3 linked regions of the Pelodiscus sinensis genome follow. The protein of the gene in region 1 interacts with the protein of each later gene in a biochemical or structural test. Links are inferred from orthologs where the notes say so. Each region holds a gene or a part of one and is shown in the gene's direction. Other genes may lie near its edges. The genes, in order: SIK2, HDAC5 and CRTC2.

Region 1 (9,500 bases):
TTGGTGGCCTGTCATTGACTTCAGGGGTCCAAGTTCAATCCTTGCCAAAATATGGCCACTTCCTAGTGAGAAAATGATAACCTGCCAGTTGACTACCAGTGTGGATAATGCTAGGCAATTGCTGATGATTGGCACTAGGAAGGGGGTAGCCACTGACTGGTGATAGCTAACTTCCTGGGATTCATTAAATGAATTAGTGCATTATAGTAAGCAGCTGTATGTGTATTCATTTTTTTATTCTTCAGATCTTGAAATATTCTGTTTTTAGCCAGAACATAAGCAACTTTGAGTCCTTGAAAAACAGGTAAAGAGAGTACAAAGCTCAGGCAACGTAGTAAAACTTGGGTGTGTATGCTCTTACATCCCTATTTTGGTAACTAAATGAATGTCCTTATTGTTAAAAGAACTAACAACTTGCAGCTCTCATTGAAGTCAGTGAAAGTCTCTAAGTGCATTCAGCACCTCTGAAGTTCAGGCCAGATATTTAGGTGTTGAAATATGGTTTTAAGTAGTTAATTTCAGTAAACTAATTTTGAAACATTTTGCCTAAATATTAAAGCTCCCTACATTCATTTTTTTTTATCTGGAAGGGGAGCGAATAACACATCAGCTGTGTTCTTTCCTCATTCTGAAATCAAAATGTTAAATATGGTGGTGACAGTAACTGATAAGAACAAGTCTCCTTGAACTTGTCACCGCCTATCTAGCATGCCATTTGTGGAGACCTTTCAAGCCATTGGTGCAGGAACAAGTTAAATGTTTCAGTGCCAAAGTGTTCCCTTTTCCTTCAAGTTTAAGGCTGCTTTCAGACTGGAAAGAGGACAGGTGCTTGTGTCAGAGATAAAAAAAGTTTCTTTGATGTTTAACAGATGTGATTCCTGCACTCCTCTCATAGCTGCTGCTTGTGGGACAGAGGCAAAAGCTTAATGGAAAACGTGCTTTCTTGCAGTCAGATATGTTTGAGTTCACCTTTGGGCAATCAACCCAAGTTATTTGGAAAAGGGCAGGCACCAGCGAAACCAAAGATGAAACTAGTGAAACACTCTCACCTTCACACTTATAATTAATGAAAGTAATATAAATCTGCTCCAAACCATTTCACAGACACAGAATATCCAAGTTAAGAACAAGAAGCTAGATGGTAAATCATCCTTTCCCTCTCCCAGGAACCAATACAAGATTGTTTCATAGAACAGAGGACACCAAATGAAATTAATGGGTGGCAGGTTTAGAACTAATAAAAGAAAATTCTTCTTCAAACAGCGTGTAGTCAACCTGTGGAACTCCTTGCCAGAGGAGGCTGTGAAGGCTAGGACTATAACAGAGTTTAAAGAGAAGCTAGATAATTTCATGGAGGTTAGGTCCATAAAAGGCTCTTAGCCAGGGGATAGAAGTGGTGTTCCTGGCCTCTGTTTATCAGAGGCTGGAGAAGGATGGCAAGAGACAAATCGCTGATCATTGTCTTCGGTCCACCCTCTCTAGGGCACCTGGTGCTGGCCACTGTCGGCAGACAGGCTACTGGGCTAGATGGACCTTTGGTCTGACCCAGTACAGCCGTTCTTATGTTCAGCCTTGTTTTAAGCATCAAGCAATTGCACTTCCATTGCTTTTGGGATGAGAGGGTTCCGTAGCCTAATACATTGCTCTGATTAAGCTGCATATTAGGGAGAAAAAATCTTTTTTCATCCAATCACTCCTACACATACAGCACTGCTACACTAAAAAAATGCCTTCCCATTGATGTTTCCATTCTTTAACGGTAGGGTTATGTCCTTCCCCTTAGCCAAGGTATAGATATTTTGTTCTCTTTTTTTTGAACACAGTGCTCACAGATGATGTGATGCCTACAAGATGTGATGCCAAGGTTCAGACATGGTGGGATCAGGGCCTGGTGGAGGATGACTAATTCCCAGTCTTGTGACAGGGTCTCTTCCTGTAAACAGCCCAAAATTGCATTCGCCTTTTTTGTAACCCTGTTTCGTTGCAAAAAATTCATCTATTTTGTTCTTTGGTGTCACAATTGTCAGTTGGGTAAAAGTGTGATTCAGTTAAGGAAAAGGTATGTCATCTCAACTATCAAAACAAGACATGTGGGCATCTCTCTACCCCGCTGGTCAGTTCTGTTCCTCTTTGTCTTGAGTTAGAGACAGGATTCCAAGTACTCGGTTATAATTTGGAGGGCACATAGGTGGCCTCCTTGCTAAGAATAAAGTCCCCCACACAACTTTCTCCTTGAAGTATATACCTATGAATATTACTGCCTAACAACTTAGAAATATAGTTCTGATGCTTTGTATCCCACATTCTCCATGTTTGGATCTGTATAGCAATTAACCATCAATAAAACCTCACTGCTTGGGCACTGTGCCTTTTGGGATGATGGACGGGAGTTATATAACTTGCCCAAGAATACGCAACTCATTGGCTGAACTAGGATTAGAACAAAGGAACTGCAGGTCCATGTCTAATCCACCACTTTAAATATTAACAATATTTTAGTTTGCTGTTATTTCACTATGAAGACTCAATGTACCATAAGCTATCGCAACTTGTGGCAGATTTGACACCACAATTAACTTGGTTTCTTCAGGCAGTGAGGATGGACCAAATGGGTCTGCATTGTCTCTACTGGCAGAGGTCAACAACAAATATTGGTGGCAATGAACTAACTTTTTCTCTCTAGGGAACTGCTGTGACTCTATACTGCACTATTGTACTTACCAGAGCTTTCCCATTTCACCTAGTAAGTGAATGCTCTAATATGATGATCTCTTAATTAGGGAAGCATATTCCAGACTGCTCATCAGTCCTTGAAACATCCACAGTCTGATTTTTAGCAGTGGAGTTCACTAATGAAGGTGAAAATTTCACTGCAGCACCAGTGCAAAGACCTGAAATATGTGGATAGAACAGTTCTAAGATTACCCTGGTAAGACCACTGCAAAGGCGCTTTCACCTTGTATGGGATTCAGTCTGATTCCCTGCCTCAGGTATGGATTCAACTGGCTCTGAAAATCTTGGGAGAAGTGCCTGTCTTCTGACTTTATCTTTGAAAGTAGGTGCCTTTGGTTTCTTCTTGCTTGAAGCTGTTAATTAGTTTTGAATGAGTGTGGGGGATTAGTGGACTATTGAGCCTTCTTTGGCCAGACTTCTCTAGCAACTCATTTTATCTTTTAGCGCAACTCATTTTATCTTTTAGCACAGACAACTGTCGGTGTCATTGCTGCGATCTCTTCATATGCTGGATTTATCCTAATTTGTAATATGTGCAGAGGAGAGAAATTAATCAGAAGATCTCCTTTGACACCTTAAATTTATAACACCTACAGTGATCTATTAATATACATAGGGCAGTTGTCCACTAGAGGGCACATGAGCTTCACATTTGATACTCTTGGATCGTTAGTGAAGTTGACTTTGAATATAATTCCTCAATATTTTGTTTTGAGATCACACAGGTCACTGTAAAAAAGTAAAAGTGTGTGCAAAGTACTTGGTGGATCACTTTGTTTGAAGCAGAACAAGATGTGAATCGGGGTAGCAAAACCATCTGCAGAAAGGCTGTTCTCTCAGCTGCAATTTTTTCCCTGGATGTTATTTTGAAGTTGTATTTCAGAACTTTTCATCAGCAATCAAAGCCTCCAATACAGCCTTCAATGTCGCCGTTGGGCCGTAGCTGGCCCATTGGAAACACTGCCCAACGCAAGAGCTTCGTGCTCTTACTGACAAGGAGGGGTGTGTATGTACTGGGGGTATTTCCTTACAGATGTGATCCTCGCCCAGTTGAAATGCTGCTGTCATTGGGAAGTAGGTTATTTTGCTTCAGAAAATAGTAGCTTTGAAGGTGAACACCAGTTTCCCCATTGTCCTTTGTTAAGGTGTGAATTTAGTCAATGTGGAGGATCCCCATCCTGCTGACTGAGCAAGCACAGGCCCAACTTGGAGGCTTTGGGTGGAGAAGTAAACAGTGTAGCTTCCTTTTTCTGCTAATTAATGATTTTTGGCAAACCTTTCCTCAGTACAGGTACACACAGTAAATACATCAGTACATGAGCCACTGCTGATGCAGAGGGGAGAGTAACATAGCACATTGGACTCATGAGACTATGTGGGGCAGGGATGATGTCTGTTACAGGTTTGTACAGTACCTAGTGCGTGGTGCCCATCCAGGCTAGCCTAATACAATACTGGACATCCTGGCCTCTGTCTGGAGCCTGGGTAGTGGGTGAACCTAGTACTGGGAGAGGCAATTCCCCAGCCCCATCCCTGCTGCCCAAGGCCCGCCATGGGAGCCAACCCCACGTCCCATAGGGACAGGCCCCTAGTGGCACATGGCCCCTGCTTCCTGGCCCCAGTCTGTATAGGCATCACCTTCCCTTGCCTCTTTTACCCACGGGGAGCCGGGCTTCTGTCAGCCCTCAAGCCATCTGCCTGGGGCGAAGTGGCCCCTGCCGGGGGCGCCTGAGGGGGGGTGAGCGCTGGGCAATGTGTGTGCATCTGATTGTGTCCTAATCCCCCGAAGCTCCTTGGTCTGGTGCAGGGTGGGACTGGCCCAGCAGCAGGGCAGGTCTGGGGGCCCAGCTCGCTCCATGCCCCCAAGGAAGGGGGCGCAGGCCCAGGGAAGTGACAGGCACAGAGGTGGAGGGAAGGGCGGGGGGGTGCAATGAGGGGGTCCTGCCAGCAATGCATATGGTAGCATTGGGACGGTGCATTGCCCCCCCTTGACCCCTTCCCGATAACTGCTGAATGGGGTGCCCCCTCGCTGCACCCCTGGGGAGCCTCTGTGCACCCCTCCCCCACAGGCCTCAGTCCCACTGGGTAGAGCAGCTGTGGGAGCAGAGGCAGCCAGGGCTAACTAGGGCTGGGGGGGGGGGAGCGTGTAGGTAGCCTAGTCTCCCCCCCCCCCCCGAATGGCCTCGCCCAGGCACAAGCCGGCGCGGAGGGGGGGGAGGGGAGGCGCGCTCCTGGGGACAGCTCTGAGGAGAGCCCCGCTGCCGGGGGAGGGGGCGCCACGCAGGGAACAGCCCCAGGGGGCCGTTGCTCCTCCGGCGGCGGTGGCTCCGGTTGCCATGGCGAGACCCCTCCTCCGCTGACGCGCGCGGTGACGCGCGGAGCAGGGGGGGAGGGGGCGGGGCGGCGCGGCTGGAGGGCGCCGCACGGCCGCAGACGGACCGAGCCGCCGCCGCCCCCCGAGCCCAGCATGGTAATGGCCGAGCCCCGGCGGCCCCCCGCGCTGCTGCCCCGCGGGCCCGGGCCCGTCCGCGTCGGGTTCTACGACATCGAGGGCACGCTGGGGAAGGGCAACTTCGCCGTGGTGAAGCTGGGGCGGCACCGGATCACGCGCAGCGAGGTGAGGCGGCCGGGCCGGGGGGGGACCGGGCCGCCCTCGGGCACCGGCTCGTGAGGAGGCGGGGCCGGGCCAGACCCTTCCCCTCCCCCCGCCACGGGGGCCGGAGCCGAGAGGACGGAGGTGGCACCAGGTGCGCCCTGCCCTCCCAAGCCATCCGCGCCGCCGGCCCGCGGCTCCCTTTGTCCCGCCGCGGGGCCGGGGATGGAGCCGCCCCCCCGCCTCTCGCCCGCGGGGTCCGGCTGGGGGGGGGGGGGGACTCGCCCTTGGAGCTCGCCTCCCTCCCAGTCACCGTGACAGCAGAGCGAGCTTCCTCCGGCCCCCTGGGGCGGCCGCAGCCGGACAGGCGCGAGCCGGCGACGGGGCGCTGGGTTTGCCTTGGAGCCTGCACTTGCCTGCCCCTCTGCGGCTGCCGGTACCGGCGCTAGCAAGACACGGTGGCTGAGGATCCCCCCCCCCCTCCTGGGGCCAGCTTGCGCTGGTGGCGGAGCGAAGCGGTGGAGAACAACTCCTCCCCGCGCGGGTCTCGGGATGGTCAGCTCAGGAGGAGCGGTCAGCAGGTGGCTGATCTCTTTGTCACGGCCCAACGCCGAACAGCTTTGCAGCGCCTCATTTGTAACTGCAGAGGGGCTGGGGCGCAAACCATTAGGTGCAAGGGAGCAGGCGATTATTTTACTGTCATACCTGAGGTGCCAAGTGCAAGGGTGCTGGGGCTACGATGTGTCTAACCTGGCAAGCCCCAGCACAAATCAAGCACTGCAGCTTTGAATCCAAAAGGCTAAATTGTTCCTTATTCTGCTGTCCCGTTTGCATTCCGGGTAGTATCTTCAGGTGTTAGGGCCAGCTTCAGTACTTCAGTTTGAAGAATGATTCCTTCATATCCCATTCCCCTGAATCAGCCTGTCTGGGTACTAAATTAAAAACAGTCATCTTTTCAGAAATGCAAGTTATCCATTCAATACCAGTTTCAGAAAACCATAATTATTTTATGCATTATGTATAATTATACTACTAGTCTGCTTTGGTAAAAAGGTAGTTAGATATATTTTTAAAATATTAAATATCTGATGGAAGCAGCATGTGTGGATCTCATTGATTAATCATTGTAAAAAAATGAATACGTTCAGTTCCTCTACATGGATTTAATTGTTATATTTCCTATTTTTAATAAACCTTTTCCTTTGATGTGATGTGAATGATCCACATAGACAAGGAAACTGAACAAAACTACGGTATGTCAAAAGCACAAAGTAAACCAATTAAAAGCTGTAAGTTTTCACTCACAGTGATCTTAAATGATACAAGTATCAATAGACAGGAGGCAGAACTACATTTTTAACTCCAATGGTAATTTGACTGTTAAAATTGTTGAAGGCACATAGTAGTGGTCACTCTTCAAAACTGTGCACAATATTAGTGACCTTGAGGTCCCTTCCACCCTGCGTTTCTGTGCTTCTATGAAAATCCAAAGCATTAAAGGAAATTTAATCAAGTTATGGCTTAAACTGCAGTTTAAGAAGTAAAGGCACCAAGTCAAATGCTTTTTAAATCCTTTCCTTGCTACAAAAGATGACCCAAGTTTGGAAGTTGGAATTTTAAGTCATGTTGAGTTACAGTGTTAATGTTTCACTTATAAGGCAGTAGATAAATCTATTTGTTTTCTGGTCTTCAGTCATCTGGTCTCAGTGACACTGCTGTGTCAATCATAACTTTTCATTGTAATTCAGATATTAGATCTGTGTTCGGTTTTATGAAAACTTAAAATTATATAAAGTCCAAACAACTTAACACTCAGTTTGACTCAAGTTAGCTTAAAAAATGCCTGAACTAAAGTACGTTCTAAAAACTTTACTAAAGGTCAGTAGAAATAAGTTTACATTTGGTTAAATAGATTTGCATTTTGGTTAGGGCTTTGAATGCTGTGTTCAATTTGAAAGCTGTTTTTATAGTTCACGTTGTGAATTGCTACTACCATGATGGGGGTGATTCCAGGACTGTGAATGGCAGAGTGAAGTTATGAATAACAGTTGTATTTCACATGATCCAGCTCAAATTAAACCTATATATTACCCATAATTTTTGTAGCAGGTTTTCTGTTTCCAAAATTTTGAGATTAAACCAGGTTGTACACTCTTTTATTTATTTATTTTGCACAATCACTTCTTTCTACAACAAGACATCTATAAGCATAGGGTTTGGTTAGTAGGTGCAGCTAGCTGAATTGCAAGGGAGAGGGACCTTATTAACTCTCACTAATGGAAAAGGAAATTAACATTCTGAACAAGTACCAGTACTGTAAATCAGTGGACTCCAACCTTTTGGGGCTGCCGGGTGCCCGGGGTACGGGCCAGGCATGCACTGCGTGCCCGGGGCGCAAGAATGGCTTGGGCTTGCCCTGGTCACTAAGCGGGCGCCATGGCGCCCGCAGGCACTGGGTTGGGGACCACTGCTGTACATTGTTCAAATTCAGGCCAGTGAGTTCCACCAGCTCTGCAACATGTGTACACGCAAGACATTGGAAGGGTTCTTGATCTGCTGAGGCTTCCAGTGATTCTTCTAGAAGGGAGAACATTGAAACTCAGTGTGTAGCTAATAACACGTACGTGTATTTCTGGAGTTGCTCTGTGCTCATCTCACATTTAACCTCCTATATTTTAAGACTATCTTAAGTTTGTAGAGATGTAAGCGACTGGTTGCTCCCCTCCTCCCCCCCACACCCAGGGACTATAGAATAGTTGACTAACTGATAAGAATTCATGAGGTTAATCGACTATTCAGTTAACCAATATTTAATATCCCTAGTTTGGACAGGGCATGATGGAGAACCATGGAACCATGGGGGAGCTCCCAGCTTAACATGCCTGTGCCCTACTGAGAACCAGATTTGGGCCAGGCAGGAAGAGAGCCTGGTGGAGTAATCTGGGCCACTAGTCCTTATCCTGGAGCTCCATGCCCCACAGCCCGCTCCCCTCCTTCCATCCCTACTCCTCACTTCCATCCTCCATTCCTACACCTCCATCCCCCTGCTTCCATTCCTGCACTCACCCATCCTTCCTAACCCCACACTTTCTATCCCTACCCATACCTCCTTCCTCCATTCCTGCGCCCCCATCCTTCCCTAACACCTCCCCTTCTGCGCCCCCCACTGCCCATCCCCCTGCCTCCATTCCTATATCCCTCTTACCCCCACCATTCCCCCTTACTGCACCACCCATCCTCACACACACATTATTCCCCCTTGCTCCCTCGCTACGCACACCCTGCCTCCTTCCGTGAATTTGTCAAGCTGCATGCCCCAACCCCCAGGAACACCACTGTGCTGGGCAGCACAGCCCCGGCCACTGCAGCAGGAGCCACAGCCTACTCCCAGCCCAGCCTTTCCAAATGCACTTCTTGGGGCACTTTGCTCCTTAGTGAGCTCAGAGCACAGAGTGGCCGCTTTAAAGTGGCCAAGACCTGCTCAAGACCTATGGTGTGGCTAAGACCTGCCCAGCTTGTGGTGGACCCAGGAGAGCGTGCCTGAGCCAGTGGCCTGGTGTCAGGTTACTGGCACACGCCAGAGTGGCTTGCTCTAGGGGAGACCTGCGTCGTGGCCCCCAAGCTCTGTGCCCGGGCCGGGGCACACAGAGCATAGACACCTGGCAGGCAAGTGGGCTGGGCAGGCTGGGGATGGGCCTTGGGGGGCGTGCGGGTACGGAGCCACCGTCCTCTCACCCCCATTTCTCGGAGTGGTCACTTGGGTAAGGCTCCTGGGGCAGGGCCCCCAGGGAAGGGTGAGGTGGGATGCAGAGTGACGTTATGATGTCACTGTCATCCTGTAGGAAATTTTTTTGATAGAGATTACTTTAAAAATACAGTATCTGTGAAGTATATAAACCTGGTTTACACGCAGAATCCATCCTATGTGTGGGATCCTACGTAATGGAATTGTAATGAAATGCTGCAGGCCTTAAACTTACTTGTCATTAAATTAATCTAATACAGATAAAGGTCAAATTAGACTGAAGCAGAATGTGTACATAAGAAAAGGTGGTTCAGAATGTGGAGTGTTGCAAACTAGTTCTAAATTAAGTGTGAAATCATATAACTGCAACCTTAATTTTGCATCTGTGCACTCAAGTGAAGTAATGTGAAAGTTAATAGAAATGTAGTA
Region 2 (10,270 bases), on another chromosome or scaffold:
GGCTCAGGCTCTTAAATTGCATAAGTAGCATCTTGGGACTCAATGGGGAAAAAATAGACAAATGTATAAAAGGCCGTCAGACCTCATTCAAGGTGGTTTAGAAGAGCATTAATTGGTGTATAAGAAGTGGTCGAGATTCTGATATCTTTCCAGATTCACTCTTGATTTGCAATGGTGTAAGGCTACATCTAGACTGCAGGCTCCTTTTGGAAGAAGCTTTTGGAAGAGATCTTCTGAAAGAGAGTGTCCACACTGCGATAGTGCATTGAACAAGCCATCTGCTTTTTTGACAGATAGCCTCCATTGAGTGTGGACGCTCTCTCGCATGGAAGCTGTGATTACTCTGGGTGGAATGGACACCAGGGCACCTGTGCTTTTTCTTCTTTCCTCTTCTTGAGAAAGAACTCCCTCTTCCCCATCTACATACGCCTTTTTCCAAAAGAAGTTTACCAATGTTGGAAAAACTCCTCAGTTCTTTCAATTTTTTTTGAAAGAACGTAATTGCAGTGTGAATGTAATTTAAGTTTTTCCAAAAAATCTGTGTAGTGTAGACATACCCTCAGTGAGAGCATACACTCACTTTCTGTGCTATGATTCTATGACACTGAGCAGAGAACCCTGGACAGCACCCACTGCCCTCCAAAGTGGACACCGCCCAGCGGAACTCTGCCTGGATGTGTGAACGGGTGCAGGAATGGAAATAGGTCCCTCCCTCAGCCAACTTCCGCGCCTTCATTTTATAAATTGCCATCTTGGCCATAGCCAGGAGGACGTTGACAAGGCTCCCCACCCTCTGTTGGTGGTAGGAGGTCCTGCCACTTGGTATCTGGGCGAGACAAGAGGTTGGGGAAGTGGAGAGTGTGTACAGTTGACTTTTTGGCATGGTTTGAAAGGGGACCGGCTGCAATGTGTGCAGCGAGTTTGGGTGATGAGAGGGAGATGGTCAGAAGGTACACAAGGCGAGGGACTGATGGAGAGATCAGGAGGGCTAGGAGTGAGGGACTAGGAGTAAACCTGAGCAGTGGGCGGCAAAGTGTCCTTCACCTCCTGAAGTACATGCCAGGGAATACATAGGGTGGAGAGTCCCATGTGCTGGGTGAGCGCGGGAGGATCCACCCATTCTCTCCGGGCGCAGTCCAGGAGGTCTCTGATTCTGGTGACCTCCGCCAGGACCAACTTCTGGGACACTGAGAGGGACTCCGCCGCCTGCACACGAAGATGGGGATTGGGTAGCAGGGGCTCCGTGAAGAGGTCTGCTCCCACGCTGGCTCCCAAGGACCTGGTCACCGCAAGCAGCTTCCAGGTCCAGAGGAGGTCCTGGTAGAAGGCCGGCAGCTCAGAGAGGTTTCGCAAAAGACCTCTCATATAAAGGAGCTGCTGGTCATATCGGAACCTTCGGAAGTGGTGAAGGAAAGCAGGTGCCAGCATGCTCCATGCTGGACTACCTGCATCATATAGGAGCCTCCGCAGGGCCTGGAGGTGGAGGACACGGACACGCATGTGCAAACATGTCAGGCCCTTCCCTCCCTCCTCCAGGGGACTGAAAGTGCTGCCCTGTAGTTAAGGTTGCCTACCATTTTCCATTTTAAAACCCCGTTCCTGGTTGCTTATAACTTGTGCCAAATTTTAACGGGTGGGACCGAGATTTAGAGCCCTGCACAGATACTAATGTCTACCCATGGATGTAGATATCCGTAGATAGACCTCGGGATCTGCAGATCAGCAGGGAGCTACTCCAAAGAGACACTGCAGCCAATGGAGAGAAGCGAGGTCCTGGTGTGCACAGGAGCCAATGCACCATGCTGGCAGCACAGTTGTTCTGCCCCCAGCTGCGGTGTCTCCCGTCTGGGGATGTACAGCCCTGCTGGTGACCAGGAGGAACGGTACAGTCACCCAACCAGGAGGAGATTGTGATGGACCCTTCCCCGTGCTTTATGAAATGGCTTTATGAACACCAATATACATGACTCAAAGATGCTTCGGACAAATTAACTCATGTAACCTTGTCATGGCTCCTTCCCCACTCTGGCACGATAAATGCAGAAGTGGGGGCCAGCAAAAGTACCCCAAAACCTTATCTACCAGGCTTTGGTATAAAACTTCCCCCCAAAATCTTAACCTAGATTTTGGGGATAAAAATTCCGCTGCCACCACCCAAGTATTGATACAAAAATCAGGGGAGAGATCACTTGGGAAATCTCATCCCTAAAGTACAAACTAGGACACAAAAATTAATCCATACCAGGTTAATAAAAATAAAAGAGAAAAAACTTTTATTATCACCACAATATTCCTGTTGCAAGCATAATGACTAGATGGAAAAGTAGCAAAATAATATACTAATGGAGGAGAAATCTACCACGGGCCAGGAACTTAGTTACAAAGGAGAGCAAACCCATTTTTAAATGCACAGACATCAGATCCCATTTCCCAAACCATAAAACAATAAAACCTAACAGATTTATCTAAACTTTATCCTACTTACAGACGTGAAGAGTATTTTCTTAGTGGGAGACATCCTGTTCCCTTCAATAGCTGTAGAGAAACTCCCAGAACAAAAAGAGAGAAAAACCAAAAATTCCTTTGTCCCAGTTTGAAATTCCTACCTGCATTCCTATTGGCTGAATGCACCTGACTTAGGTAAGGTTAACCCCTTAGTTCCCAGGCTGCTGGCTAACCCTCATGATCATGACAAACCTATCAATCTTCATGTCATAATCCACTGGATCTCTTTATCTTATTCTGGTGTATGTATCATTCTTGTGTGTAAAACTAGATGCATGGAGTATGGGATTCTTTATGGTTTTAAATGTGCAAAGGAAAGCCATCAAGAGTGTTTCCAATGCTGGGATGCTTCAGTGTCTGGGCAGTCATATGTAAGTTGCCTTTTGTCCTTAAGTCTTAGCAGGGGTTTGTCTTAGGAAGTCACATGACCTCCCTAACTAGTAGCCTGTGTCTACACTGCTGGGTTTTTTTGGAAAAAGATACGCAAATTGCGAACTGAAATTTGCGTATCTTTTTCCGCTTGTTTTTTGGAAGAGGCTTTTCCGACATTTGGCCCATCTACACAGGACCAAAAGTCGGAAAAACTTCCTCTTTCGGAACATTCCTTATTCCTCATAAAATGAGGAATACAGAGATGCTGACAGAACATGCCCACGTTTTCAGAAACTGTTCCGAAAATGTGAACACATTCCCTGGACGCGGCAGAGTTTTTCCAGGATAAACTCTGCAGTCTAGACATAGCTGTAGGGACTGGTCAGGTAACTTCTCATGCAAAAATGGGAATCTTTAAAACAATAGGAAACTAGCGGGTCTTTGTTTTTGGCTGGCTGGCATTCCACACCCAAGGCAAGGACCCAAAGACCCCAGGGTGAGGAGCTGCCCTGGTTTGAAGGCTTACTAGGAAAGGAACAGTTTTAGAGTGAGTTTGTAATGAGTTTGTACCGGGGTTTTAGTGTTAGAATTAGCTAAGAGTTTTCTGTTATTTTAAGTTTGTAATCTACTTTGCTCTGCCCTTTCTCAATTATTGCCTCTTAAATCCTACTGCTTGTACTTAATAAAATCACTTTTATTTACTATCAAGCCTAGTTTAAATAATTGTTGCCTGGGGGTAGCCAGTGTGTACATTCCCCCTTTCATTGTTAAAGGGGATTCACCTAAATAATTCCTTTGGAGTTCTGATCCCATTTGGGGAGTGGTATCCTGGGAAGCTGGGCCCCAAACTCCATTTCCTTGGACCTCAAGGCTATGTCTAGACTGGCATGATTTTCCGCAAATGCCTTTAATGGAAAAGTTTTTCCGTTAAAAGCATTTGCGGAAAAGAGCGTCTAGATTGGCATGGACGCTTTTCCACAAAAGCACTTTTTGCGGAAAAGCGTCTGTGCCAATCTAGATGCGGTTTTGCGCAAGAAAGCCCCAATCGCCATTTTCGCCATCGGGGCTTTTTTGCACAAAACAGTTTTTAGCTGTCTACACTGGCCCTCTTGCACAAAAACATTTCCGGAAAAGGGCTTTTGCCTGAAGCATTTGCGCAAGAAGCACTGATTTTGGACAGTAGAACGTCAGTGCTTTTGCGCAAAATCAAGCGGCCAGTGTAGACAGCTGGCAAGTGTTTGTGCAAAAGCCATTGCTTTTGCGAAAAAACTTGCCAGTCTAGATGCAGCAGAAGAGTTTTAGTGTTAGTACTGCTTCTCGGGGGAAGAAGGAGCAGTGATCTCAGCTCTGGTCCTTGGCTGGGGGAGACCAGGAGCTGGCCCAGCAGGACAGAGTGGTAAGAAGCTAGATGGCAGGAAGGCAAGTGGCAGTGGTCTTGTCAGCACGCTGGGAAACCCTCCCAAGGAGTCTTCTGTGACTGCATCCCATCACAGAGATGCTGACATGGGGCACTGTCTCTCTGGTGTGATGGGACCACGCTCCTCTTCATTGGCCAAAGTGTCTCTTGGGGGTAGAACCCTGCTGATCTGTGGATCCCGATGTCTATCCATGGATATCCACATCCGTGAGTAGACATTTGTATATGTGCAGGGCTGTACCAATGTTTTCTATGCCAGGTTATTGACCTCAAGCTGAATATTTTTGTAAAGTTTCACCTAAAACAGTTCAGACATTTCCCAGAATAAGATGAGGGGAAAACAAATGGGTTTGTTCATGTTAAAAGACCTCTTACAGCTATTCAAGAAGCTGTAGTGAAATTTGGCAGGAGGATCAGGCTGGAGTCAGGGCTGTGCCTTTCACCAGCTCTGTGAAAATGTGCCAGGCTTTGGCCTCTACAAAAATGAAATTTGCACATACTCTGTTAAAAGTATTTGCGCAAAATAATGCCAGTCTAGACGCAGCCTGGTTGTTGTCTCTCTGTGCCTCAGTTTCCCATCTGTAAAATGGGGATTATGGGCCCTCTGACTGGGTCTACATTCATGAGCATCTGTGGCATGCTCGGCTAACTGCTGCGAGAGGTGCATAGAAACACACACGGACCGTGTTGTGCCCGTGTGAGGTTTGGGGGGGGATTGCATATGGGCTGAGGCAGAAAAGCAATAGGGATAAAAGAATGCATCCAGGCCTGAGTGGTGAATGCTGCGTGCATGTTTGGGGATCAGGCAGCACAAAGGTTGCCCTGGGGGAACTTTGTGAGACATGTTGCTAACTGTGGAGCATTAGGCTGTGAAACTTCAATGTGTCCCCAAGGGGCGCCCTACTAGCAGGGCCCAGCTGGGCTTGCACCCCCATCTTCCGCTGGCCCTAAGGGCGTCCCGCTAGCCGGGCCCAGCTGGGCTTGCACCCCCCCAATCTTCCACTGGCCCCACGGGCGCCGCGCTAGCAGGGCCCAGCTGGGCTTGCACCCCTATCTTCCGCTGGCCCTAAGGGCGTCCCGCTAGCCGGGCCCAGCTGGGCTTGCACCCTCATCTTCCGCTGGCCCTAAGGGCGTCCCGCTAGCCGGGCCCAGCTGGGCTTGCACCCTCATCTTCCGCTGGCCCTAAGGGCGTCCCGCTAGCCGGGCCCAGCTGGGCTTGCACCCCCATCTTCCGCTGGCCCTAAGAGCGTCCCGCTAGCCGGGCCCAGCTGGGCTTGCACCCCCATCTTCCGCTGGCCCTAAGGGCGTCCCGCTAGCCGGGCCCAGCTGGGCTTGCACCCCCATCTTCCGCTGGCCCTAAGGGCGTCCCGCTAGCCGGGCCCAGCTGGGCTTGCACCCCCATCTTCCGCTGGCCCTAAGGGCGTCCCGCTAGCCGGGCCCAGCTGGGCTTGCACCCCCATCTTCCGCTGGCCCTAAGGGCGTCCCGCTAGCCGGGCCCAGCTGGGCTTGCACCCCCCCCATCTTCCAGTGGCCCCACGGGCGCCCCACTAGCCGGGCCCAGCTGGGCTTGCACCCTCATCTTCCGCTGGCCCTAAGGGCGCCCCACTAGCCGGGCCCAGCTGGGCTTGCACCCCCATCTTCCGCTGGCCCTAAGGGCGTCCCGCTAGCCGGGCCCAGCTGGGCTTGCACCCCCCCAATCTTCCAGTGGCCCCACGGGCGCCCCACTAGCCGGGCCCAGCTGGGCTTGCACCCTCATCTTCCGCTGGCCCTAAGGGCGTCCCGCTAGCCGGGCCCAGCTGGGCTTGCACCCCCCCCCCATCTTCCGCTGGCCCTTTAAGGCCGCGTGGGTGACGCGCCTTCCTTCTTGGAGGCCCCGCCCTCGGGGGACCAGGCAAAGGAGGGGGAAGGAGCGGAGCAGGCAGGCTATTTTTAGCCCAGGGTTCCGTCACGTGACGGGGAGTGACGTCACCGAATGTTGTTGTTGGTGGTGGGGCGCGGAGCGGGCTGCGCGCAGAGCCAGCTGCAAAGATGGAGGAGCGGAGGCGCTGGCGGTGAAGCCGCGGGCAGCCGGATCCCTGGCGCGGAGGGGCTGGCCAGGGCACCCAGCCAGGCGGGGCCCCGCTGCAGCCGCCCACCGGCCTGGGTAGCAGGTAAGGGGGGGGCCGCCCCCAGGGGACACAGGGCGAGCGGCTCCAGCGCCTGCCCCATGCCAGCGCCGGGGAAGGGCAGCCGGCTCGGCCCGGGCCCCGGGCAGGGGTGCAGGGCGAAGCCCCCTTTCGAACGGGATTGCACCTGCCACAGAGAGAACGGGGCAGCCAGCCTGGTCCAGGTCACTTGCCCGGCTGCGGGCTCTGGGGCAGGATATTGGCCGGCAGGGAGCGCTGAGACATGGGTGGGTTACTGGGGCTGGCTGCTGCATTGGCACCCTTGGGGGTGTTTGCTAATGCACCTGCCCGAGACTCTCCTCCTCTTGCGGGGAACGGGTTGTGGGTGGGGGCCAAGGCAGGGGAGCAGAGGCTGTGCCTGTGACACAGAGCGCTGGTTATGAAACGGCAGCGCTGTCCGCATGGTGGGGTGGGGGGATCCTGCCTCCAGTGCAGATGGTGCTCAGGACTGGCTGAGCTCCAGTTTGGGCTGTGTGTATGTCTGGGGTAGGTCGGGCTGGGAGGATGCGCCTGGGGCTGTGAGACGGGGTGTGTGCCCATCACACCTCACTAGCCTGGGCTGAGGAAAAGCCACTTCTTGGAAGCAAAGAGTGGCATGTGGCTGTCGATGGGCAGAGGTGCTGGGGGTAAGGGAGGACCAACACAGGCTGGTTTTTCCTCTGGGCCTTTAAAGAGGGGGTCATTCTGGAACTCCACAAGGGAATGCATGCTTTTCCACCTCCTCTGCATCCTCTTGTGCCTGGCAGTTGCAGCTTCTTCAGGCTAGTGGGCGGGAGTGGGGAGGGAGGCCTGCCTCCATCCTTAGATCCCTTTGTCTGGAAACCTGCCTTGTAGGAGCTTAAACTTTGTGCACCCCGTGATGCCTGCATGGGAGATCAAGAGGATGCAAAGCTTGTTCAGATGCATGAATGCCCTCCTCCTGCCCCTTGTTTTGAATCAAAATCTTGTCTCTTGACCTTCTTGCTAGAGGGCTTGGTGCTTCTTTTCCCATCTCTAGCTGGCCTGGGAGTGGTGGGAGAAGGAAAATGTGTGTCTGTTATTGCCTGGGAGACAAAGGTTTGCTGATGCCTTGTCTTGCACGCTAGCCGTGTGCTATAAATACCTAGGCAGAGGGAGTGCGCATGCGGGGGGAATGAAAAGGGTCCTGAGAAGCGGCAGTTGCCCTTAAATAATTGATCCTTCCTACTTGCATCTTTTGGAGGAGGACCATCTGAAATACTGCAGCGCTCCCAGCTCCCTGATGGGTGATGATTTTTGTTTGCTCGGTGCCAGACCTACTCTGCTAGGGGATAAGGTGCAGTAGCAAGTGCTGGTCTTGGGGCTCTTTTCCCTTTTGCTTTTGGAGCCAGATTGTTTCTCCGGTGCGGGATGATGGGAGGGGTAGGATTTACTCCCGGACCTGCTCTCCCTTCTTTCCTTCTCCATCTGTGCCTTGTTATTCTTGCAGGTGAAATTGCAAAATGGGGCCATGATAGGAAAGGCATTCCTCTGGGAAAATAGGTTTGCTAATGGGTTGTCTGTGTTCCTTTCAGATCAGCATGCCAGGACCAGCATATCTCTGTGCTGCCAGTGGGGAGCCAGACTTTGCTCTCAGCCACGCTGGTGTAAATCAGGACTAACACCATTGACTTTGGCAGCATTGCTGTGCATTGATGCAGGTGTGGCTGAGAGCTGAACCTGGCCTGTGAGCAGGTACGCATGGTGCAGTAGGCAGTCTGGTGACCCCCATGGGATCATAGAGGTTAGAGTTGAGAGACTGGTCAAGTGCCATCCAGGGCATGTGGGAATAGATGACAGGGCTCCCCTCTCCTTCCCTCACATAGCTGGCTGCCGGGAAATATTTCCTAGTATTCATCCTCGTTTTTTCCCCCCTGCATTCCTGTCCTCCTTGCGTAGTGACAAATCCCTCCCTCCCTGTGTGCTTACACCCTTTCGGATGTCTGCGGAGTATTACTATTTCTGTCTGCCTGTTGTTTAACTCTTTCAGCTGTGAGGCCGCACCCTTCGTTATTTTGCTTCTCTTCTCTGAGCTCCCTTCTTGCTAGCTCTGTACCTTGGATAAGGTGTGAGCCTCCAGATTCAGTCACTCCTGCCTTGGAGGAGGAGAAGGGTTATAGAGATCTCAGTTGGGATCAGAGCCTCATTGTGCTGACAGCTGGACCCTCTCACCATAAAAGATAGGCCTGCTCAAAGGACCTTATAGTCTGAATGGGGGCATGGGCAGGAAGGGGTTAATGCCAAGATGAACATACAGTTCCATACACAGCATTGAGAAGGGACTTTGGTCGAGTGGTTTGAGCTGGGGGGGATTGGTAGGCAGGACTCCTGGGTTCTAGCCCTTGCCTTGGGAGGAGAAGGTAGTCAATGGGTTAGAATGCAGATGGACATGACTCTTGCTTTGTTTCTCTAATTTAGACAGAAATTAATGAAAGGAAGTCCTGTGGCCTGTGTGATATGGGGTCTTGGCCCAGAGGGTCACAGGAATCCCTTCTGGGTCTGCCGAATGAAATGCTTGTTAGTCCCAAAAGCTCAGAAATCACCAGATGGGCATAATAAATCTCCCAAACTTTTCTTTTTTTTTAAACGTTGGGTTCTTATTATTTGACTTCCAGTTTTTCTGCCTTTTGGGGCTTCATTTTTTCAAGCTTCTCTTGGCCACCACAAGGAGCAGAGAACTATCAAGGTAAATGAAGGCGGAGAGGCTCCTGCGTTCACGCATCTCCTTTCAGAAAACAGTGGCTGGTTGCAAGGCAGGCAGGGAAATCCCAGGTGCTGGCAGGGCTGTGTGCTCATAATGATGAGCATGGTCCAGAGCCCATTGATGTTGATGGAAAGGGGCCGCTTGATTTCAGACTGAGCCCTAATTACCAGACCCTAGCATCCTCCATTACTCTCGGTTGTTGCTGAGCCTGGTGGCAGAGCCAGCCCTAAGGTGTCCGTTGCGGAGGTAAATCAAGTCTGAGGCAGCTGCTTTACATTATTATCTTCAAGGGGTTTCACTTCCATTTTGTTTGATTTTTACAGGCCACCTCTTGGTACCTCACCATTACCCCTTTGATGGAGACAGGTGTGTCCCGCAAGGGCCTCCACTTAAAGCTGCCTTGGGTCCTGACTACCTCTAGAAAGGAGACATCATTATTTGTTCTGAGCCAACTTGCTATATAGCACCTTGGAGGCTCTAGTCAAGGACCAGGACCCGTCCTGCTAGGCCAGGGGTGGGCAATAACATGGCGGCTGTTTGCCAAGGTTGGCCCTGGTGGGCCGCTGCCGCTATATTTACCTGAACAGTCATGGACCAGGACACTGCTCCCCGCAGCTCCCGTTGGCTGGGAACGGTGATCCATAGCCAACGGGAGCTGCGACTGCCAGTACCTGTGGCCGTGAAGGTAAATATAGCAGCGGGGTCCTCCAGGAGCTAACTCTGCTGGACCGCATTTGGCCTGCAGGCCAATATTTGCCCATCCCTGTGCTAGGCCTTATATAAAACATTGAACGAAGAGGCAGCCCCTGTCCCGAGATGCTTACTAACTTTGGCCCAAATTCAAACCTTCCTTGGATTGTCTCGAAATTTGACAGAAAGCTGCAGGCTCAGATCTTAAATATTGTGGCTAATTTTAAATACTGATCGTGGCGGCTAATGGGACTTGGTCAGTGAGGTCCCTTCAGTGGCTTTCAGATTCTAAGCTGCCTTTGTTGTCCTTGTAGTATTGCCACTGTTGAAAGTTAGTCTCCTGGCTGCAGGCAGGCCCTGTCCATAGCTTGGGATTCAAATCTTGTCCCAGCAGATTTCTGAGCCGATCAGAGGGCGTTT
Region 3 (10,474 bases), on another chromosome or scaffold:
GGGATTGGGGCCTGGGCGGGGCCGGGGCGGGGCCTGGGCGGGGCCTGGCCGATGGGACGGGAGGGGCTTGTGGGTGACTCACTGGAGCGACACGCCCCTCCCCCCCTTCCCACGCAGCTTCCTGGCAGCCAGCTGTCCCAGCTTCTCGGCAGTGATGCCTCTGGCTCCGCCCTGCTCTGCCTCTCCCAGCACGGGGGGGTCCCGCCGTCACTGCCTGTAGGGGCCCCCCGCTGCCCCAGAGCCTCTGCTCCTTGGGCTGCCTCCAGCGCTTTGCACGGGCTGGTTCCAAGGGCTCCTGCCCAAAGGGAAGGCTTCCCTCCCGGCCCCCCATCTGCCCGCGGGGTGGGTGGTCCGGGAGCCCGGCTCTCGGGGCTGCCGGGGACGTGGCGTCCGAGGGAGGGTGGGGAAGCTGCGGGCTGGGCTGGGCGGGGCCCCTCTGGCCCCAGGAGCGGGCCAAGGCGAAAGCCAGAGGCTCCAGACGTGCCCCTCACTGTGGTGTCCTGGCACCGGTCAGGGGGAAGCGACAGCTCACGGGTGGGGCCAGTTGGCTGCGCCACCAGCCCAGCTGGAAATGGGGCCCCTACTCGCCCCCCCGCCCCAGGCCCCGAGCAGCGAGAGGGGGGGCGAGGGGACCGGGTGCCCAGCTGACCCTGCCCCTTCCCTCTGCAGCTCCAGTTCCCCCTGCAGGAGTTCATCTTGGCCATGGGCTTCTTCCTGGTGCTGGTGCTGGAGCAGATCGTGCTGGCCCACAAGGACCAGTCCGGCTCGCTCGAGGAGACGCGGGCGCTGCTGGGGGCCTCGGTCCAGGCCGGGACGGTCCAGGCGCTGCACTGGCCCGAGGAGCCCCCGCGCCCCCACGCGCACTCGGCCCTCCGCTCCTTCCTGCTGGTGGCCTCGCTCTCGCTGCACTCCGTCTTCGAGGGGCTGGCCGTGGGGCTGCAGGAGACCAGCGCCCAGGTGCTGGAGATCTGCTTGGCCTTGCTCCTCCACAAGTGCGTCATCGCCTTCAGCCTCTCGCTCCAGCTGCTGCAGAGCCGCCTGCGCCCCCGGGCCGTGGCCGGCTGCCTGCTGCTCTTCGCTCTCATGTCCCCGCTGGGGATCGGCGTGGGCGTGGCCCTGACGGAGACCTCGGGCGCCCTGCACCAGCTCTCGCGCAGCGTGCTGGAGGGGCTGGCCACCGGCACCTTCCTCTACATCACCTTCCTGGAGATCCTGCCGCACGAGCTCAGCTCCTCCCAGCAGAGGATCCCCAAGGTCATCGTGCTCCTGGCCGGCTTCGCCCTGGTCACCAGCATCCTCTTCATCAAGATCTGAGCCGCCTGGAGGAGGTGCGAGCGCTGCCGGGGGCCTGGCCGGAGCCGGCGGTCCCTCTCCCGGCGCGGGGGGGCCGGAGCCGGCGGTCCCTCTCCCGGCGCGGGGGGGCCGGAGCCGGCGGTCCCTCTCCCGGCGCGGGGGGGCCGGAGCCGGCGGTCCCTCTCCCGGCGCGGGGGGGCCGGAGCCGGCGGTCCCTCTCCCGGCGTCTCCAGCTGCTGTCTGACCTGGGCTGGGCGCTTGGGTCTCCTCCCCCACACATCCCCGCAGAGAAGCGATTCCCCAGCCCTGGCCAGGTGGCAGGAGCCCTGGTGCTGTGGGCAGCGCAGGAGGAAATGCTGATCGGTCCCTCTGGGGCTCAGGGCAGCATCCGCGACCCTGCTAAGCCAAGGGCGCCAGGCCGGGGAGGTCGGAGGCAGGGCAGGGCGCCACTGCTGTGGAGCTGGGCACCGATTCGGCTAACCCCTAGGGCACGTGCTTGGCTCAGCTGGGGTCTGCCGGGCTTTGGGGTGGCTCTGCTGCCCTCTGTGGGGCACAGCTCCTCTGCAGGGGGCAGTTGCCCACTTGGTAGCATGGCCCTCCCCATCCCTGGGAAGGCAGGGTCGGCGTGTTCCTCCAGCCAGAGCGCCCAGCCTGGGGGGTGCAGGGTAGAAGGGGGCTGACAGCGCCTGCAGTCTTCCATGGCCCTGCTTTGCTCAGGCTGTTCCTGGGGTGGGCCTGGGCCTTTGCCCTATGCCAGAGGAGCCTGGCTGTGCCGACACACCCTTCCCCTCCCTGCAGGGTTTCCCCCAACTGGAGGGCAGCAGGGCCTAGTGGCTAGAGTGCTGGAGTGGAAGCCCTGGGGTCTCTTCCTGGCCGTGCCGCTGGGCGATCTTGGACAAGTTGTGGCATGCCCCGTGCCTCAGTTTCCCCATGTGTAACCAGGGCACCGGGCTCCCCTTCGGACAGGGTGACAGCCGTAAGAGGAGCTAGAGTGATGAATTATTGTTTTTAAGGAACACCAGCTGTAGATGGTGGTTTGTTTTAGAGGCGCCGGTCTGGTCCCAGAGCGTGGTGACGTGGGGCTGGCGTCCGTGTGACCAGGGCTGTGCGGGGGGATAGAAACGTGCCTTAGAGCCGCCCAGTGTGGCTGCCTTCCTGCCCGACGCCGTGTAACCCTGGAGTCGCCCTGGGAAGCCGGGCCTGCCCCAGAGAACTCGTCTCACGGGTTCTAGCTGGCGCAGGCAGATCCGCCGTTCCTGGGCAGTGCTGGCCAGTGGTCGGGCGACAGGGTCCAGTGGCCTTAACTCCTGCTCGGGGAGCCCGTCCTGCTATTTTTATACACTGCCCTTTCCGGGCTATTCGGCTGCCTGGCAGGCCCAGCCCTTTTAACGCAGAGTCTATTTTACTAACTCCCCTTCCCCGTCGGGACGCGGCTGCGGGGTTCCCATGCTGACTGAGAAACCCGTAGAGGCGAAAAATAAACTGACGTGAATCTAGCTTCTTGGGTGCCGCGTTTCCCTCGCCCTCCCCCGAGCAGCGACATGTCCTGGCTTTTGAAAAGCCCTTTCTTTGCGGGATACGTGCCCGACTACAGAGAGCGGGCTTGGGGGGGAGGGGTAGCTCAGTGGATTGAGCCTTGGCCTGCTAAACCCGGCGTTGTGAGTTCAATCCTTGCAGGGGCCAGTTAGGAACCTGGGGCAAATCCGTCAGGGATGGAGCTTGGTCCTGCTGTGGGGCAGGGGATGGACTCGATGACCTCTCCCTTCCAGCTCTGAGATAGATCTAGCTCCATATAGGACCACACACAGCCAGACCCAGGCCTGGGCTCACGTACAGCCTGGTGCCCCTCAGGGAACGTGCGGCAGGCTCTGGCCAGCTGCGTGGGCCAGCTCCGGGCAGGCTCTGGTGCACTCCGAGCGCCCGACGCGCCCTGCAGCGTGCGGATCTACGTGCCGGCTTGGTGTGCACTGCTTGCTCAGCCCGCTGGCCGAGCGCCCCCTCCAGTCCCTGCGGGGCCTTGCACGCTCGCTGGTGGGAGCCGCCGGCTGCGGCACTAGTCCCTGCTAATCCTGCACCGCAGCCCCAGCGTCAGCCTGTGGGTGCCCAGGCCGTGCTGAGCGGGTCCGTGTGAGAGCAGAGCCCTCTGGGCTAGACACAGAATCCTGCCCCTTCCCACGGCCTGGCCCGGCTCCCCAGTGCCCAGCCAGCCCTGCACGAGCCGCTCCAGTGCTGGGGCGCACGGGCAACACCGGGCCACTGTGACTCGTTGGCTTTGGCCGGTCCCCTTGGGGCTCACCCGGCCTGTTGGCTGCACAGGGATCCTTGCTGTGGTCCGTGAAGCAGGACAGAGCCAGCCTCTGGCATGTGTGTGGCTGGGCTAGTGCCAGTGTTCCCTGCCCCCGCAGCTGCAGTGAGAGCAGGTTCGCCTCCGACCTGTGGGGCTCCCTGGGGCTGGGGAAGGGATCCCCTGGCTGCCCCGGGGGCCGTAGGAATGCTTTGGGCCTGCCCCTGTGCTGGACATCCCTGCACTGGTGCCCAGCCAGTCGGCAGGGGAGGCGTTCCAAAGGGGGAAGGGCATGGCTCGGTGCCCGAGCAGGCCTACACAGACCCCCGTGCGGCAGGCAACCGGTCCGCTCCGCATGGAGCTAGCTGCACGGCTGGCTTTTGGGGCGGAACGAGCCCCGCTCCCGGCCTGCTGGATGCTCTCGCCCATCGGGCTTCGCTGCTAACCTGGCTTGCCCGCCTAGGTTGCCGGGGCCCCTGCCGCTTCGGGATCCTTCCCGGGAAATCAGAGCTTGGCTTGAGGTTAATCAGGTCACAGGCGGGTTGGAGAGGCTCCGGGCGCTTGTCAGATGCTCTCCGGCATAAGTGCTGGGGGTCTAATGCGCCCAGGGCCCCCAGCCCAACCTGGGGCAGGTCACTGCAGCTTGGGATGGGGGGTTCCGCTATTTGCCGCCTCGCAGGGTCTGTGAGCTTTGCCCAGCGTCTGTCGGGCGCTTTGCTGGGGTTAGGGCCAAGGCCGCGCTGTGTGACCCGGGGGCGGGGGGGGGGGGGAATGTCCAAGCTGGGGAATCGATGTGCCTGCCCTGCCTTGGCCGGTCTGTCCGACCGACGCTGTTCTCCGTGCCTGACGGCTCTGTAAGTCACTTGACTGGACGCCTTCATGTGGTTCTCGCCGCCTCTTTTCCTTTTCCGGCCGGGCGGAAGTTTGCACTGGCCTGGGGGGGCCTGGAAATTCCTTTTGCAATTTAAAACAAAATAATGCGGGGGGGAAGGGGAATGTCTGCCGTGTGATGTGTTTGCACGAGAGGAAGCACATGCACTTTGCACTGGGAATGGCAGCTGCAGGAGTCTGAGAATTCATTCCACGGCGGCGAAAGCTCTGTCTCTTGCACAGGTTTATCCTGGCCTGGGCATTGGTGCCAGGAGCCCCGGGCGGTGTTCCCTTTCTCTGTGCAAAGGACAGTCAGGGGCCACATTCACTAGTGCCCCGTGCAGCGTTGTTTTTCTTTGTACGAGGGAATGGTGCAGATGATACTAAGCCGCTCATGAGTGTTAAATCCAAAGCAGACTGAAGAGCTTCAAACTAGGTGACTGGGCAACAACACGGCCAATGAATTTGAATGTTGACAAATGCAAAGTAATGCCCATTGGCAAACACGATCCCAACTTCACATACAGAATCAGAGGGACTAGTTGAGCTATAACCACCCAAAAGAGAGATCCTGGAGTCACGGCGGAGTCCTCTGAACACATCCCCTCGTGCGCAGCAGTATTCCCTTTGCCTGCACTCAGCAGTGGTGCAAAGGGCAGCCCGGGGCCAGGTTCACTAGTGCCCCGTGCAGTATTCCCTTTCCCTGCACTCAGCAGTGGTGCAAAGGGCAGCCTGGGGCCAGGTTCACTAGTGCCCCGTGCAGTTTTCCCTTTCCGTGCACTCAGCAGTGGTGCAAAGGGCAGCCCGGGGCCAGGTTCACTAGTGCCCCGTGCAGTATTCCCTTTGCCTGCACTCAGCAGTGGTGCAAAGGGCAGCCCGGGGCCAGGTTCACTAGTGCCCCGTGCAGTATTCCCTTTCCCTGCACTCAGCAGTGGTGCAAAGGGCAGCCCGGGGCCAGGTTCACTAGTGCCCCGTGCAGTATTCCCTTTCCCTGCACTCAGCAGTGGTGCAAAGGGCAGCCCGGGGCCCCGCTGCGAGCTCCAGCCGTTGTGTAACAACCAAAGCAGGAGCCTCCGGCGCCCGCCTCCCGCCCCGCTCCTGAGTGGCCGTAGCGGGCCCGGCCGTGCAGGTTCGGGACGGACCCGTGGGGCCTGAGGGCGAGGGAGCGCGGTGCACGACGGGAGCTGCAGTCTTCGAGCCCCTCGCCAGCCGCGAAGGAGCGCGTGCTTCCGCCCCGCGCAAGACTACGCCTCCCAGCAGCCCCGGCGGCGGCGCGCTCGGCACTCTGGGAGCTGTAGTGCGCTTCCGCCGGCCGCCCGCTAGGGGCGCGCGGCGGGCGAGGTGGTAAATAAACTACGCGTCCCGCCCTGCCCCGCGCCGCCGTGTTGTTCGGCGGAGGCCTGTGGCCTGCGAGGCGGCGGCAGGCGCTGCCTGGGCAGGGAAGATGGCGGCGTCGGGCTCCGGGGCCGGGCCCGGGCCGGGCTCCTCGGCCGCCGCCGGCGCCTCCAACCCGCGCAAGTTCAGCGAGAAGATCGCGCTGCAGAAGCAGCGGCAGGCGGAGGAGACGGCGGCCTTCGAGGAGGTGATGATGGAGATCGGCTCCACGCGGGTGAGCGCCGGGCGGGGCCACGGGCGGGGGCCGGGCTGTACCATGGGGGCTGGCGGGGGGTCGGGGGCTGGTGGCGGGGCCGGGCTGTACCATGGGGGCCGGCGGGGAGGGGGCCGGGCTGTACCATGGGGGCTGGTGGGGAGGGGGCCGGGCTGTACCGTGGGGAGGGGGCCGGGCTGTACCGTGGGGAGGGGGCCGGGCTGTACCATGGGGGCTGGCGGGGAGGGGGCCGGGCTGTACCATGGGGGCTGGCGGGGAGGGGGCCGGGCTGTACCATGGGGGCTGGTGGGGAGGGGGCCGGGCTGTACCGTGGGGAGGGGGCCGGGCTGTACCATGGGGGCTGGCGGGGAGGGGGCCGGGCTGTACCATGGGGGCTGGCGGGGGGTCGGGGACTGGTGGCGGGGGCGGGCTGTACCATGGGGGCTGGCGGGGAGGGGGCCGGGCTGTACCATGGGGGCTGGTGGGGAGGGGGCCGGGCTGTACCGCGGGGAGGGGGCCGGGCTGTACCATGGGGGCTGGCGGGGAGGGGGCCGGGCTGTACCATGGGGGCTGGCGGGGAGGGGGCCGGGCTGTACCATGGGGGCTGGTGGGGAGGGGGCCGGGCTGTACCGCGGGGAGGGGGCCGGGCTGTACCATGGGGGCTGGCGGGGAGGGGGCCGGGCTGTACCATGGGGGCTGGCGGGGAGGGGGCCGGGCTGTACCATGGGGGCTGGTGGAGAGGGGGCCGGGCTGTACCGTGGGGAGGGGGCCGGGCTGTACCATGGGGGCTGGTGGGGAGGGGGCCGGGCTGTACCATGGGGGCTGGCGGGGGGTCGGGGGCTGGTGGCGGGGCCGGGCTGTACCATGGAGGCTGATGGGGAGGGGGCCGGGCTGTACCATGGGGGCTGGCGGGGGGTCGGGGGCTGGTGGCGGGGCCGGGCTGTACCATGGAGGCTGATGGGGAGGGGGCCGGGCTGTACCATGGGGGCTGGCGGGGGGTTGGGGGCTGGTGGCGGGGGCCAGGCTGTACCATGGGGTATGGGGGGAGGTCACGGGGGGGCCAGGCTATATCATGGGGGGTGGGGAGGGGGGAGCCAGCTGTGGCGGGCGGCGCTGGCTCGGGGTGGGGGGCGCTCTCTCTCTGCAGCAGGCGGAGGGCGGGGCGGGGGTGTGTCCCTGGGGGTGGTGCTGGGGGGCCTGGCGGGACTCTCGGGGGGTGGGGCGGGGGTGTGTCCCGAGGGGAGCCTGGCTGGACTCTCAGGGGCCGGGGGGGGCGTGTGGGTCCCTGGCGAGGCTGGGGGGGGGGCTGGTTGCTGCGTGGGCCCGGCAGGGGGCTGGGGTCGTGGCCTGTGGCCGCCACTGGCCCGCTCAGCTGGGAACGTGGATCGTGGGAAGCGCCTGGACTGCGCTGTCCCGGGGCCGCCCACGGGGGAGAGGCCTTCTCCTTCGCTGACCTCCCCGGCTCTCGGCCACGAACACGGGAGGCCGAATCCAGCAAACCTGCCCCCCCAGCGGGCCCTGGGAGAGCGGTGGCAGCGGTGGCCCCAGGCGTTAGGGCAAAGACTGAGACCGCGGCAACAGGGAGCTGCTCGCCTGGCCCGTGGCGCCCTGGGATCCGGGAGGGCCCCCCCCCATCGGTGCTTCGTCCAAAGCTTTCAGGAAGGGTCCCAGGGGGCTAAGGAGAGGGCCAGGCGGGGAGCCCTCGGTGAGTGGTTCTGGGAGCCGGCGGGGGCTGTGCTGTGTTTCCCCCGCCCCCTCCCTGCGTAGGAGTCCGCATGTGCCCGCAGCGAAGGGGACGGGTTGTTCTCCACGCAGCCCCTGGAATCGGTGGGGGTTGTGTGAACCTTGCCCAGACTGGGAGAATCCGTCCGCTCCTTGGACGTGAGATTCCCTTCCCAGAAGAGCTGCCGATGGCGGATCGAGGGGGGGCAGGTGCGTGGGGGAGGGTTTGAGATCCAAGGGCTGAGGGATCCGGGTGGCAGGCCCTGCGGACTGGTCGTATGGTAGAGAAGGGACAGAGGCCGGCAGTGCGGTTGCGAGATTGAACAGGCTCCTGGGCTTGAGTGAGGAGATCGGCCCTGGAAGAGGAGTCTCTGGGGACTGGGGGGGTCTGGGCTAGGGGCTTGCAGCCCCCCGTGGCAGCAGGGCCTCAGCACACGCCAGCTGGTGATAGACAGGCGTTGCCTGGGGTGCCCTCTGTCCCCGGGTCACTGCTCCGAGGCCGGACAGAAAGCCGTTCCCGAGCGTGTCCCTCGGTGTGCTGAGCCAGGGCTCTCTGACGGGCGTGCAGGTGAGAATTAACGGGTGAGCTGTCTGGGCTGGGAGCCGGCCCTCTCGTCCTGGCCCAGGGCTCCTGGGCGGTGTTTGCACAGCAAACAGCTGGTTAATGTACAGCAGAGCTGGGGGCTGCCGGCCGAGCCACCCTCTTCGCGGCGCGGGCCCTGCGGGGCTGCCCGGTGATCCCTGCAGCCGGCTGGCCAGGAGCCGTGCGAGAGCCCCGGGGTGCCAGTGGCTCTGGTGCCGCGTTGAGCGCCCCCGTCCTGCGTCTGCTTGAGAGCTGGGCCACGGGAGCTAGAGGGGCTGGCGTGGAGCATGTGCTGGGGGCCCGTCTCGGGCTCGGCTTGTCGGGAGCCTCTTCGCAGCCCTGCCAGACTGGCTCCGGGCTGTGCTCGGGCAGGGTGTTCCTGGGGGGCTCGGAGCCGGGCACGCTGTGGAGTGGCAGCTCCCCTCCCCCCGCGGGTCTGAGGGCAGTTCTGTCTCCATGGCCTCAGTGCTGGGGCTGCCGGCCAGGCCCTGGCTGGAAGCTGGCTCCTGTCAGGAGTTGTCCCACGTGTTGGCTAGTGTGGGCCATTCCCCAGGCAGCCGCTGTCTGAGGCCGGGCGCCCTGCGTGGCCCTTCGGCTTTGCGGCTGCTTTATTCCAAGCTAGCGGGTGCTGGAGCCCTGCTCGGGGTCTGCAGCTGGCCGCCAGGGGCCTCCGTCTGCGCGCACGTGGGGGGGGGCACTCGCTGTGCCGGAGCTGTTGGCGGAAGGAGCAGTCTCTAGCCAGGCCAGACGCTGGCCCTGCCCCGAGCCAGGGACTGGCACTCAGACGCCGGTGGGGGTGGGGGGGTGGACCGGCTGCGGGGGGCAGGGAGGAATTCTGCCCTCCCGCTCTGAGCCGGGGGGCAGCCTCCCTGGGATTCCGAAGGGGGCTGTCTGCTGGGTGGGGTCTGCCTCTCCCGCTGGGGCAGTGGAGCTGAAACCCCAGGGAGGCTCCGAGCCCTAATCCTGGAGCGCGGCAGAGACAGCTGGTGCCTACGTCTCCCCTTTCCCGGGCTCTGGATGTTGCCGGTTTTAAGCTGAGGAATTTACAAGGGGGCTTTGTAGCCGCAGGGGTGTCTGAGCTGCTCTGCGCTGCCCACACTCGGGGGCTCCCCAGCAAACTGGCCCGGGGAGCCTCTTCCCTGGCGGCTCTTCTGGCTGAGCGACGGCTGTTGGACCCCTGGGGGGGCTGGTGGCTGGTTCTGCAGCAGAACCCGGAACCCTGGTGCTGGTGGAGATGGATTTTCACTGATGCCTGCAAGGGGGGGGTCCTGGCTTTCTACATGTGCTGCCCCATCGCAGGGCCCTCTTGGCGGGCACAGGAAGGGCGAGGCGGTCGGTCTGGCCTGGCCGGTGTGCCCCGGTCCCGCAGGATGGCCGAGCAGGCAGCGGGATGGGCACCGTGCCCGGGGTTGGAGCTTCCCGGCCAGCGTGCTCCTGCTCTGGGCTGAGCCCCGCCTGCTCTGCTCCTCTGCCCCCACCCGAGGGAGGCTGGTGCCCTGACCCCAAGGCCAGGAGAGGGATGCTGGGATCCTGATGGCAGGGGCTGGCCTGTCGTGGGAACCCGCGTGGCCCTGCCCTGGTGGTGGCCGAGCCCCGGCGCTTGGGCCATGGGTCTGTGGAGACGCTCTTAAAATATCCCAGTGTGCTCCCAGGGCGGTGGCGGGGCCCGGTCCCACGCCGGCCTGCGGCCCCTTGGGGCGGCGCCAGGGGCTGGTCAAGGAGCCGCAGCGGAGATGTGCCAGCCGGAGCCTGCCCGCTGGAGACGGAAGCTTTTTCTCAAGGCTACACGGATTCCCTGCCCCCCACCTCCTCCCCGCCAGGGCCTGACTCCTGCTGCTCCCCCTGCCAGCTCCCCTGCCCCCCGGGCCTGGCCTGCAATTCCTGGGGCTTTGCTGTGCAGGCCCCGTGCAGAGCCCGCGGTTCCCCAGAGCTGCTCGCACTGAGCCCCGGAGCTGGCCAGTCTCTGCTGGGCTCCCGTGGGCGCGGTGGGGCTGCCCCTCCCCACGCTTGGTTTGGTTCCCGCTGTTGCACTGGGGCGGCTCCGGGCCCGGCTCCGTTATTTCTCAGGCCCAGGGGCTGCCCTGCTCTGCGCCAAGGCTGCTGCCTCAGTCTCCCCTTTTCCCGGCTGCTCTGG

Evidence for each region.
Region 2: of the proteins of SIK2 (region 1) and HDAC5, one has a biochemical effect on the other in vitro, tested with the Homo sapiens proteins (2 studies listed by BioGRID). The link is inferred for Pelodiscus sinensis from reciprocal best matches to the Homo sapiens genes SIK2 and HDAC5.
Region 3: of the proteins of SIK2 (region 1) and CRTC2, one has a biochemical effect on the other in vitro, tested with the Homo sapiens proteins (2 studies listed by BioGRID). The link is inferred for Pelodiscus sinensis from reciprocal best matches to the Homo sapiens genes SIK2 and CRTC2.

Annotation. Positions count from the first base shown.
Region 1 is NC_134736.1:6,544,233-6,553,732, forward strand, and holds the start of SIK2 (serine/threonine-protein kinase SIK2), read left to right. Parts: upstream 1-5,057; 5' UTR 5,058-5,200; coding exon 5,201-5,350; intron 5,351-5,586; exon of another isoform or gene 5,587-5,907; intron 5,908-9,500. UniProt on the Homo sapiens protein: Serine/threonine-protein kinase that plays a role in many biological processes such as fatty acid oxidation, autophagy, immune response or glucose metabolism.
Region 2 is NW_027466028.1:522,620-532,889, reverse strand, and holds the start of HDAC5 (histone deacetylase 5), read left to right. Parts: upstream 1-6,238; 5' UTR 6,239-6,266; coding exon 6,267-6,444; intron 6,445-7,991; exon of another isoform or gene 7,992-8,151; intron 8,152-10,270. UniProt on the Homo sapiens protein: Responsible for the deacetylation of lysine residues on the N-terminal part of the core histones (H2A, H2B, H3 and H4).
Region 3 is NC_134734.1:23,286,076-23,296,549, forward strand, and holds the start of CRTC2 (CREB-regulated transcription coactivator 2), read left to right. Parts: upstream 1-5,834; 5' UTR 5,835-5,891; coding exon 5,892-6,056; intron 6,057-10,474. Other genes in the region: SLC39A1 (zinc transporter ZIP1), read left to right, coding at 670-1,314. UniProt on the Homo sapiens protein: Transcriptional coactivator for CREB1 which activates transcription through both consensus and variant cAMP response element (CRE) sites.